Linked DNA regions of Neurospora crassa OR74A. The protein of the gene in region 2 interacts with the protein of the main gene of each other region in a pairwise test. Links are inferred from orthologs where the notes say so. Each region holds a gene or a part of one and is shown on either strand. Other genes may lie near its edges. The genes, in order: NCU09740, cot-1 and pp-2.

Region 1 (3,565 bases), about 2.5 Mb from region 2:
TGGACAGGCTGCCTTGGATGAAAAGTTCAAGGACGAAAAGTTCAATAGTCCTGGCCCCAAGACGCCCATGACAGACACTTTCAAGTTCTCTCGCCGTGATGATCAACAAAGCGCATACGAGCAGAAACAGGCATTCTATGAGTTGTTTCACGTCGCCGTTGAGGCTCTACCACGGTGTTTGTCGGTAGACATCCCCTTCAATACGCTGATCAACCTTCTGTGTACCGGAACCGCCCATGTCCAATCAAACATTGCGCGTTCATCGGCGCAGTCACTCAAGGCCATCGCTCGGCAGTCTCATGCCCAGCAAGTTACAATGGGGTTTGCCCGCTTTATTTTCAACTTCGACGACCGGTACTCGACCATGTCTGATGGTGGGATGTTGGGCCCAGGGCACATTGAAAAAACACTCATGCTTTATGTCGAGCTTCTTCACATCTGGATCGACGAGATCAGGCGAAAGACGAAAGATGCTGAGGCAGAGAGCGACGGACCCGGTGGGACTGACAAACGAGGCATCAAGCTTGACCTCTCGGGTATCTGGGCCGAGGTCGATCAAGTAGAAGCACATGGCTTATTTTTCCTATGTTCGCAGTCCCGGCGTGTGCGGTACTACGCAGTTACCGTTCTTCGCCTGATTACCGAATTTGACGCAGCTTTGCGGAAGACGAGCAACCACGAAGAGGAAAAAACTATGAGACTGATCGACATCCTGGAGAACGATTCGATGCAGGTCATGAGCTTCAATGATGACCACCTCTCGGTAGCTGAGCGCAGCAGATTGGAGCGAGGTTTGCAAAACTCGAACAGCCAAGGAGCCTTACTTGAGCTCTGTACCAGTGATGTGTCCTATGATACCACACTTTGGTTCAAGGTTTTCCCAAACTTTGTACGGATTGCATATGACAAGTGTCCATTCACAGTCACCATCGGCCGCGACCTTGTCTGCAACAGAATCCTGCAGCTCTACCAGGCGATAGTCATAATATCTGAGCCATCCGCAAGGATGTACTACGGATCTGATGGAAGCAACTCTCGAGTGGTTAGGACCCCAACCACGCAGCCCGAGGTGCTTGTTGAGCAGTTCAAGCTGTATCTCGTCTTTGCCTGTACGACGCTAGCAGACCCAGGCGGTGTTCAGTCGAGCTCGGCACAGAATGGTCAACACGGCCGGAAGGGTTCCAAAGCCTCTTCAACCGTTGACAAAATTGTGACGGCGCGAACATTGTTCAAGTATCTAAACCCCTTACTTGGGGCATCACTCAGCTCCGTCAGAGATGCTGCGGTTACTGCGATGGGCTCAATCAACATTCACATTTACCGCACCCTTCTGGAGGAACTATCGGGACACGTCTCCCGATGTAACGACGAAGCACGGGCACGAATCCAACCACACCAGCGCACCAACAGCAACCCAAGGCGTAACCGGAAGATGGATTTGGTGCGAACTGAAATCACTCACGTCTACAAGCTGACGGCACATTTCTTGAAACTACCAGAGGTGTATAATGACGAATGGATTCTGAATAATCTAGTCACTTATGCCAAAGACCTCAAGCTGTTCCTGATGGACGTTGAAGTCCAGATGGATTGGGAGTTCCAGAGGTTAAGGCGGCATTACTGTGGCCTCATGGAAGAGCTCTTCGAAGGCATCAACCGAACGAAAGACCCATCGCGCTGGATGACGTTTGAGTCCCGCAAGTCGGCTTTCACGCTAATGGAAGATTGGTGTGGCTTCTCACCCAACCAAGCGCAAATCTCCCAAAGGGAAGCTACCATGCGACAGTCGGTCATCAATGAGCAGGGTGCAGGCGAGCGTGGCAATGTGAGCGCCGCCATGGAAATCGAGAAAAGAAATTTGCGGACAGCTGCCCTCAGTGCCATGGCATCGCTTTGCGGAGGTCCTATTCGTGTGCTTACCGAGAGCGGCTCGTTTCTCTATTTCGACGCGCGCCGTATGCTGAACTGGATTGATGCGATCTTCAACGCGGAAAGCAATCGCATCAATCTCATCGGACGGCGGGCTCTCAAGAACCTCATCGTTCACAACCAGCAATATCCCGCTCTGTTGGATCATTGCATCTTGAAGTGCTATACGACCGAGGTCCCCAAGGTGTTGGCTAGTTACTTCACGGTTGTGGTAGAAGTGCTTTCGGAGCATGTCGACTACCCCTGTCCATTCTGGAAGCTCCTCGGTCTCTGCTTATTCACCTTGGGTAACGATCAAAGTGATATACGGTCCAAGTCGGCACAAGTCTTGCGCACAGTTGAAGAGCGGCAACAACCGGCGCGAAACTCCAAGATACAAGACTTTGATATCAGCATATCTGACAAAACCAAGGCTGTTTACAAACTTGCTCAGTTCGAAATATCCAAGCGACTGGCTAAACAACACACTGAGTTGGCATTTTACATCTTTTCCGAGTTTACTTACTACTTTAAGGAGGTAGGGTCAGTGGCCCAAAGGAACGTGGTTGCCATCATCCTTCCTTGGATTCAGTCAATCGAGCTGACCGTCGACCCCAATGGTGGTCCAACCGCACAATCATATGTGCTTCTTGCCAACCTCCTGGAAATCACCATCAAGTCGAGCGCAGCCTTGCACAACGAGGTCCAGGCACTCTGGCAGGCTCTGGCGACAGGTCCTCATCCGGGCAATGTGAGGCTGATTCTGGACTTCATCATGTCCATTTGCCTGGAACGACGGGAGCAAAATTTTGTTGAATATGCCAAGCAGATCGTGGTCTTCCTCGCTAGCACTAGCAGTGCCCCTGGAAACGAGGTGATAGAGTTTCTGCTCATGCAAATTACGCCAAAGTCCATGGTAACTAACGACAAACGAGAAGCCGTGCCGCCGCCGCCTGATATCAACACCTTGCCTTACTGTGCAGATCTCTCAGAGGTGCTCCCCATAGGGACAAAACAGGCTGGCTTCTCTCTAGGACAACTATCTTTGATACTGCTAGTTGATCTTATGGTGGCTCCAGCTTGCCTTGTTCCTGATAATGTGCCTGTGTTACTTCAGGTGGTCACGGTGCTATGGGATCACTACACTGCGCTTGTCCAAGAGCAAGCCCGTGAGATGCTGGTGCATCTTATCCACGAACTGGTTATTTCGAGACTCGATGACGACGTTCCCCAGTCCACAAGAGAAAGCATCGAAGGTCTGATCGATGCTATTCGCCGCCATGACCGGTCTGTAGTGTGGGGCTACGAAGATAGCAATGGCAATGTTGGCGCTCACGACAACAAGGTGCCCCCGAGCATGGAATATCTGACCGGCGAAATGGTCAAGACGTTCGAGATTACATTTCCCGGCATCAAAGAGAAGTGGGGCAGGCTCTCCCTGACTTGGGCAACATCTTGTCCAGTTAGACATCTTGCTTGTCGATCGTTTCAGATCTTCAGGTGCATCTTGACGTCTCTTGATCACTACATGCTAGGGGACATGATCGCCAGGCTCTGCAGTACTATTTCTGACGAGGATACTGAACTTCAGAAATTCTCAATGGAAGTGCTGACGACTTTAAAGACACTCGTGGCAAAGTTGGATGCCGACAAGCTA
Region 2 (4,137 bases):
ACTTATTCAGCCATATATGCGGAACGGAAAATTCGCGTACTATCAGCAAAGTGTCTCTGCCATCAGAAATTTCAACAGCACCGCGAGCTAGCAAAGACGTCAAAGCCAAGTATAAGGGGTACCCAGATACTGCCGCCCCGCAGCACAACCTCTTCTCCCTTTCGCCATCACTATTACGCCCCCTTCCTCCCCCCCAAGAAAACCAACGCTCATTATTCAGACAGCGAGAAGACGTAACGCAATTATCGGAAGTTGTTGTCGAAACGCTTGAACGTGTATCCAATGAAAGGCAAGCTGAGTTCTGGGCTCTCCTCCTGCTGCGCAGGGGCAGCGGCGCCCCTAGCGGCCTGCTGAGCCTTGAGCAGCGTGGCGTTATCCGTCTGGTCAATCTCGTCCGTAGGGAAGTATGTGGTATCGATGGCGGATGTAAGACGGGGCTCGAAGGGCGCACGGATGCGACGCAAGCTGTCGAACTCAACGCCGCGGAAGAAGGCGTGGCTCTTGATTTCGTGAGCACCACCACGGCCGAGACGGTTCTCAGTGTTGCAGATGAGGCTATGACAAGTCAATATGGTGAGCGCGTGATTTTGGGGGAAGTCAAAAGCATGCATACCTTCTGATAAGGTTCTCGGCATCTACACCAAGGGTGATGTCATCCGGGAAGTAAAGCGAGTGCCTCCAGTTCACGATCTTGCGGTAAGTGTCGTGGCTATCCTCGGCGCAGAAAGGAGGCCAGCCGACCAAGCACTCGAACATGATGGTACCCAAAGACCACCAATCGCAATCAAACGAGTAACCATGGCCAGTGAAGATTTCCGGAGCAATATAATCTGGTGTACCGACGGTCGAGTAGGCCATCAAACGTCTGGAGCGTCTCCAGTCATTGATCTGTGCACGGTTGCTGACCGTCAGGTTGATTTGGTCAATAGCAACCGAGTTGCGGTTGTCGCGCGGCTTGTTGGATTTGCCCTGGAGCAGTTGTGTGTAGTAGTTGTTATCATGGAGCTTGTGGAAGCCGGTAGAGAGACCGAAATCTGTAAGCTTGACATGACCACCCCTATCAAGAAGGATGTTGTCTGGCTTAATATCTCTGCATGCACAACCGTGTCAGTATCTCTTTTCCAGAGCATTGCTTCCGGCGAAGCTTACCTGTGAATGAAGCCCAGCTTATGGACCGCGTCGATAGCCAAGACGATTTCGGCAATGTAGAAACGGGTAATATCCTCCGAGAAGATTTCGTATTTGATCAGCATGGTCATCAAGTCACCACCGGGCAAGAACTCCATGAGCATGTAAAGGAAGTTCGCATCCTGGAAGGTGGTGTAGAGCTTGACAACCCATGGGCTGTCCGACTCGGCCAAGATATCTCTTTCTGCTCGGACGTGGGCAAGCTGGTCCTTCTTGAACATTTCCGTCTTGATAAGCGACTTCATGGCGTAAACCTTGCCGTCGGCCTTCTTCTGCACGAGCTTGACCTCGCCGAAAGCGCCCTTGCCGATGATCTTGATGGTCTGGTAGTTCTCGGGCTTGTCCTTGGTTCTCAGGAAGCGCAAATACTGGCCCTCCTTCCGGCCAGCGGTTGACCAGATCGATTCGCGACGGCGGGCATCGTTGGTCTCACCGAGCTTCTGCTCCATCTCGCTCTGTCTGAAAAGGGTGTCAGCACCGATCACGGCGGGATGTAGGGGCAAAAGCGCATCGCTGCAGCATTCACCTCTGGTTGCGCTCCCTGGCGCGCTTGACGCTGTCCTTAAAGAAGTCAGAGGCCAGCTGTGAGCACTTCTTCTGGTTGTTGTTGGCATTGGGGCCATATTTGTCGGGGTTCCGCTCGGGAGCGGGAGCGAACTCGGTCTGGGTATTCGAAGGCATCGGGGCGCTCAGATAGTTGCCGTAGGTTTGCTGCTGGCCAGAGTTTCCGGATGTGCGAGGGCGTTGAGCGGGAGATGGGCCACGAGAACCGTAGGGAGAGGCTCTTCCGGCGCTGCCAATGTTCTGATGGGCGAACTGGTGGGCGAGACCAGTGTTGGGGTCGTTGCTAGTACCGTCAATGTTAGAATGAGCTTGAACGAAGCCGTAGTCGGCGGCACCAGGAGGGGCGTAGTGGCTGGCATACTGGTTCTGTTGATAGTAGTTGCCGGACTGGGCGTAGGCCTGGTTGTACTGCTGGGAACCACCGGCTTGTTGACCTGGGAAGACGGGTTGGGGGAAGGTGGACGGGGTGGTGGGATAGGTACGATCGTTTGGAGCCATGCGGGTATCGTTGGTGCCCAGGTTGAGATGGGGGCGGTTGGTGTTGTCCATCTTGGTACCTTGTCTCTAAACGGTAAACAGTGGATTCCGGGTGTATGTAGCGGGAAGGGCGCAAGCGAGCTCAGACGAGATTCCGAGGGACGGCAGATGGAGAAACGATCAGAGTCGAGCTCCCAGACCGATCGATGGGATCTATGCGCACAGAAAGGGGTTTGTGTACAAGACGGGATAGGTATGGGGAGACGGGAGGAAAGGAGGTTGCTTTTTCTTGGGACCAGGGTCCAACGAGGATCGAACGACGGTTGGCTACTGTAGATGGTAGGGATGGGAATCGAGGGCGGCCAGGCTGGGGGGGCAGGTGGTTGAGTGGCACCGTCCGAAGTGGAAGTGTCCCGCTGGAACGTGCAGTCGATAGGCGCAGTGTGGAAGTGGAAGCAAAGTGGAAGCGTGACCGACGTGAGCCTCTCCAGCCTACCTACAGGAAGGAGTCTGACAGGAGAGCACTGGCTGGAGGCGATTCAGGGCGCTGTAATTCGGAGAACCTAGGTACGGACGAATCAGACAAACGGAAGGGAAGCAGGTGGGGCAGGGTCCCTGCGGTATCAGTATAAATAAAGACCTAGACGTATAGAGGTGACATGGAACCTAACAGATCCCATCTATAAGTGACCAAGACATAGACTGTGATGATATGAGACAGCCACGGGCGCATTCAAAGGACACCTTGAATAACAACAGACAACTAGGAGCATCTTTACGTTTCCGTTTTCTGTTGCCACAGGAAGCTGGCCTCGATGTGAATCTAGTACACGATGCCCAGGAATAAGGAGGTCGTAGAAAGAGGGGTTCCATGTTTGGGATGACATGCCCAGGTCCAGTGGTGAGCTCCAGGCCGAAACAGGACCACCTAACTATGGGGTGCCCTGGTCAACCTGAAAACCCCTGACTCCAACCTCATCGTCAGACGTCAACTCGTTGCTGTCTGTTCCGCACTGCTGCCATCTTCTCGTGCCTCACAAGCACACTATAGGTAAACCACCAGTCCCCCGAGTGTTGAAGCTCGACGCAACGGCATTGGACCTCGAGAGCATCGAGACTCTGGTCCGGGAATTTGTTACTGGCTGGGAGCGGGCACTCCCGGGTCTGCAATTGATCGAAGGGGCATCCTGGTGGAGCTGAAGGTGGGGTGAACACGCTTAGCGCCATCGACACCGCATCTTCCCTGGGTGCTCCTGTTCTTTCAGGGGTTGCAGCGTCTCGGAACAGTTGTGCCCATTGATCACGCAAGAGGTCATCATGATCGCTGACAGCACATGAAGCCCAAGTCGCCACGACCGAGTATACAATTGTCTACTGTAGAGACATCCTCTACGATGCTTCAGCAGAGAATCCAGGGAAAGTAAGAACACGGAACAGGTAGCCCGACTTATACAAGCTCAGGTACCCTTTGCAGACGCTTTTAGAACCTATAGTTCTGGCTCAGAAAGATGGAACCTGCTTCAATAGGGCTGACTAAATTCCCCAACTTATGAGAGTAAAGTCCAGACATGAGACTATCTTGGAACTCTCAAGATAAAATCTTGGGCCGTTCCAAGTCTGCGTGGTCTGCATTTATACACTAAAAGTTAATTCAAGTGTCACTGGCATGACGTGCGGTTGACCTTCGCATATGGCCCGTGCACAACCACTAAACGCGATGAAAGATGCAGGTGGGTGCCGCCGCGGGAATGGCTTATCGGCTTATCGCGATAAGAAAGTGTGTCCGGGAATTTTGGCAGTCGGGTGCTCCGCTGCACCGGCCCCAAGGTCCTCAACGGAGCTCCTACGGAGTCGCTGTCCGTAGTCCGTACAATCGTTACGGAATCCCGTCGTCCTCTTCAAGTTGTC
Region 3 (4,392 bases), on a different chromosome or scaffold from region 2:
TATAGAAGATCTCGACGGGATGGGTACGACCGGGGACGGCGAGCAATGGGGCGTTGTAGAAGTAGGACTGGAACTTTTGGGCATCGAGCGTGGCAGACATGACAATGATCTTGAGGTCTGACCTGCGGGCGGCGATCTGCTTGAGCAGGGCCATGAGGATATCGGTCGCGAGGGTACGTTCGTGGGCTTCATCGAGAATGATGCAGCTGTAGCGGGACATGTCGTGGTCGTGCATGGACTCGCGCAGGAGCTGACCATCCGTCATGTACTTGAGCATGGTCTTGGGGCCGGTCCGGTTCTCGAAACGAATGCTGTAACCGACTTCCTGGCCCAGTTCGACATCCAACTCGTTCGCGACACGCTGGGCAACCGACATGGCCGCCACCCTTCGGGGCTGGGTACAGGCGATGAGCTTGCCGTTCGTGTGGGGGAGCTCGTCGTAGAGGACGTATTGGGGGATCTGGGTGGTCTTTCCGGAACCCGTCTCACCGACGAAGACGAGGATCTGGGTGTTGTGGTACATGTCGAGGAACTCCTGGCGCTGCTTGTGGACGGGGAGGTCGCGCCTCACTTTGAGGATGTCGAAGTATCTCTGCGAGTGCGGCTGGCCGGTCCACGGGTTGAGCTCCGAGTCCTCGGCCTGGGCGGCCTGGGCGGCGGTGGTCTTGTGCCTCTCGAAGGCGTCGAGGGGCGATTCGAAGTCGCCATTGGTGCCGTTGCCGTTGCCGTCCTCGTTGAGATGGGCGAGGTAGGGGTTGTACTTTTCGGGGGCAGCATCGCCATTCTCGGCACGCTTGATGCGCTTTGAGTCCTGGTCGTTGCCGTCCATGTTGGATCTCTTGACGCCTTTGTCGTCGTGGCTGGCCATTGTGGTACCGACCGAGGGCAGCTGGCCTTTTTTTTATATCTTGTTTCTTCGAGCGAGAGGGGTGGGTACTAGGAAACAAAACAAGAAGACCGAACTGAAGGGGAAGAAGAGAAGCGGCGATAGGCAAAACAGAAGGCGGAGTGTCGATTATGGCACCTCCAGTGGCAGTGATGAACAACAGCGAAACAGAGTGGAGGGGAGGGCAGTGGGCAGGCATGCGAGGCTACAACTTTTTTTTTGTTTGATGTCAGGGCGATAGGTCAGACCTGGCCGGCAGTTCCTGGCCGCAGCGACTCTCGACCAATGAGGGGTCACAGTGATAAGCTTCAGTGGAGTAAGGAGTGTCTTTGGCAAGCGCTGATAAGCAAATCACTGTAGCATTGGACAGGACCCTGATGGGCACTAAGACGGTAATTTTCTACACTGTTCTGTAACTGTCAGGTTCACTCAGTTTGTTCCTGCTGCACGTGAAGAAGAAAAAAAAAAGAAAGAAAAAAAGAGGCAAAATGCAGGCAGGTTGATGAAGTTTGTGACATTGTGACATTGTGACATTGTGACTTTTGGCGCATTGGGTTTGTGTGCAATCTTTCTTTCACTCAGCTATTTCATTTTCCATGTACCTATCCATCTATACCCCTCCATACCTGTTTATTTCGAGTTGGTGACCGTTGAGGTTGGACTTTTTCCTCTGGTGCTTCTTCCCTGGAAATATCCACTGCCATGGGGTCAGTCCGTTTTGGGAAAAATAAAAAAAAAGTACCATCCAACTTTGATTTCAGTCTTTACAATTTTCCCTGTGATTGGGTCCGATACCTCATCAAAGTACAGCCTATACATTCTTCTACTGTATACAGGCCCCAGAGACTAGTATAGCTACCTTCTCCGTACCCCTCCCGCTGCTGTTCGTACCACCTCAAACCTAACCTGGACCATCGCGGGGTTATTTACTTCTAGTCTCGTCCACTCTCTTTCACTCACTCGGATTCACATAAAAGTCCAGTCACTCACTCATCATGTCTTCAAATCGCGGGTTTAACCCCGAGTCCGAGTCTTTCGAGCAACGGCCGCCCTTTTACATTGGCCAGCATGATGTCCAACGACATGAGTCGCCCACTGACAATCAGTACGGCCAGATCTTGGACAGTGGTGTAAGTCTTTCCTTACATTAAAGTAGGAAGAGAAAGAAGAACGAGCAACAGCATAAATTCTAACACACATGAGATGAGAATAGTTCAACTTTGTCACCACCCCCATCACCAACGAGCACTTTCACCAGCGCGTGATCGACTTGTACAAGAGCCATCTCCAAGAACGGGAACAGTGGGTCACCGAACGGGGACTCACTGACGCCCAAAAGGCCAACCCGTCGCTGCCACTTCCTACGGTTCCTACCTTGACTGACGACGATACATCCCTGTTTCCCAGCAGCTATGTTGGCTCGCTCATCGCCTATGCCAGCCCATGGATCGACCTCTGCTCTGCCGATCCCATCATCTCAGACATCTCCCGTCAGGTGCTGAACCTCGAGCTCGCCTACGCCAACTTCTGCGGCTCCAGGACCATCATTATCCCCGGCCCAAGACAGGACGATGGCCGTGCCGTTGCTCAGTATGCACGTGCCATTCAGGAGGCTCAGGAAGTCGGTGGTCGTGTGAATCTGGTCATTCACTTGCCCATGTACCGCGAGCCTGGTTTGGAGGAGGAGGCAGAGACGCTTTCTTCTCTCCTTGCTGGTGACGGTAGTAGCAGCTCCAACTCCAAGGAGACCGTCAAGACCGATGCTGCCAAGGGCACCGAGATCGATCTCTTCAGCACCTGGGACAGTTGGCACACCATCCGGACCGTCTGCAAGTACAGCGGTCGTCTGTTTGTTGCCCTGCGCATTCCCAAGCGGGTACCTGAAAAGGACCTGCAGGAGCGCTGGTTCTCCGAGCCGCTGCACTACCTGACCCTCGATAAGAAGATCTTCTCGCTGAACAAGGCCGGTCATCCTTCCCTTACCCGCCATCATCAGGACTTGATCAACCGTTATATGCGCCTCAAGAACCACCCGTGGCTAATCCTGATTAATGTCGGTCCGTCGACGGAAAGTCTCGTCGAGGCCCCCAGCAAGATGGAGGTTGACTTCCCTCCTTTGTCCGAGGCTAGCAAGGCAGTCAAGGAGAACCGCAAGCCGTATGCTCCTCCCTACAACGAGTACGTCGATTACATGAAGTACCTCGAGAGACACCAGCCCCCTTATTCGGCCATGGAAACTCCTTCGCTCGTCAGCTTCCAGGACTGGCTCCAGTCCCCTCTCCAGCCGCTCTCGGACAATCTCGAGTCGGCCACATACGAGGTCTTTGAGGGCGATCCGGTCAAGTACGATCAGTACGAAAAGGCCGTGGCCGAGGCCATGCTCGAATGGAAGAAGTACAACCGGCCCGTCTCCTCCGTGACGCCCGAGACGCCCGACGGCAAGGACCTGATCGTGGCCGTCGCCGGCGCCGGCCGCGGCCCCTTGGTTGCCCGCGTTCTCCGGGCCGCCGCATCCACCAACACTCCTATCCAGCTCTGGGCTCTGGAGAAGAACCAGAACGCCTACGTCTACCTCCTGCGCCGCAACAAGCGCGAGTGGAACAACTCGGTAACGGTGATCAAGACCGACATGCGCGAGTGGGAAGGTCCTCGCCTCGCAGCCAACCCGAACATCATCACCAAGCTCGACATTCTCGTGACTGAGCTCCTCGGTTCCTTCGGCGACAACGAGCTTTCCCCGGAATGCCTCGACGGCATTCAGCGGCACATTGCCCGCCCGCACGGCATCTCCATCCCCTACTCGTATACCGCCCATCTCTCCCCCATCGCGCACCCGCGCATCTTCGCCGACCTGTCCAACCGCGTCGTCAGCGACCCCAACGCCTTCGACATCCCCTGGGTGACACGTCTGTTCCAGCTCGCCTACGTTGCCCAAAAAGTGCCCAAGCACGGCCGGTTCCAGCAGGCCTGGGAGTTCGTGCACCCCGTCGAGGTGTCGCGGGCCGACGACTTTTCTGCCCAAAACGGGCGCGCGCGCAAGTATGTTACTCACGGCAGCGGCAGCATGTACGGCTCCAGCGGCATCAACGAGCATAATGCTCGGCACTGCCATTTGACGTTTGTCTGTCCCACGAGAGGTGTGATCCATGGTCTGGCGGGCTACTTCGAGAGCGTGCTGTACAAGCATCAGGAGGAGGGCAAGACGCCAGTAGAAATTAGTATCTTGCCAGATCAGATTGATCGGAAGAGCAAGGACATGATTTCCTGGTTCCCGATTTTCTTCCCTCTTAGGGTGAGTTTTTATCTCTTCTTCCTTCATTTCTTGTTTTTCTTGACTTTTCGCTCCTCGCTCCTGCTTTGGTGACGATTACTGACCCTGTTTCTTCGACGATACATAGCAACCCCTCTACTTCCCTCAGGACACCGAGCTAGAAGTCAGCATGTGGCGCCAGACCGACGACACCAGGGTGTGGTACGAGTGGATGGTTGAAGTGTATGCTTGGGTG

Evidence for each region.
Region 1: the proteins of cot-1 (region 2) and NCU09740 interact in a two-hybrid assay, tested with the Schizosaccharomyces pombe proteins (2 studies listed by BioGRID). The link is inferred for Neurospora crassa OR74A from reciprocal best matches to the Schizosaccharomyces pombe genes orb6 and mor2.
Region 3: the proteins of cot-1 (region 2) and pp-2 interact in a two-hybrid assay, tested with the Schizosaccharomyces pombe proteins (2 studies listed by BioGRID). The link is inferred for Neurospora crassa OR74A from reciprocal best matches to the Schizosaccharomyces pombe genes orb6 and skb1.

The regions. Positions count from the first base shown.
Region 1 is NC_026504.1:1,962,754-1,966,318, forward strand, and holds part of NCU09740 (cell morphogenesis protein), read left to right. Parts: coding exon 1-3,565. UniProt on the Schizosaccharomyces pombe protein: Required for the maintenance of cell polarity. Has a role in localizing F-actin at the cell tips.
Region 2 is NC_026504.1:4,484,384-4,488,520, forward strand, and holds the start of cot-1 (serine/threonine-protein kinase orb6), read right to left. Parts: upstream 2,939-4,137; 5' UTR 2,302-2,938; coding exon 2,114-2,301; intron 2,036-2,113; coding exon 1,715-2,035; intron 1,648-1,714; coding exon 1,150-1,647; intron 1,091-1,149; coding exon 614-1,090; intron 556-613; coding exon 243-555; 3' UTR 1-242. UniProt on the Schizosaccharomyces pombe protein: Interacts with pak1/shk1 and coordinates cell morphogenesis with the cell cycle. It is essential for maintenance of cell polarity and is involved in mitotic control.
Region 3 is NC_026502.1:2,954,892-2,959,283, reverse strand, and holds the start of pp-2 (protein arginine N-methyltransferase HSL7), read left to right. Parts: upstream 1-1,583; 5' UTR 1,584-1,881; coding exon 1,882-2,016; intron 2,017-2,089; exon of another isoform or gene 2,090-2,099; coding exon 2,100-4,178; intron 4,179-4,284; coding exon 4,285-4,392. Other genes in the region: NCU01612 (pre-mRNA splicing factor ATP-dependent RNA helicase PRP43), read right to left, coding at 1-868. UniProt on the Schizosaccharomyces pombe protein: S-adenosyl-L-methionine-dependent protein-arginine N-methyltransferase that can catalyze both the mono- and symmetric (type II) dimethylation of the guanidino nitrogens of arginine residues in target proteins.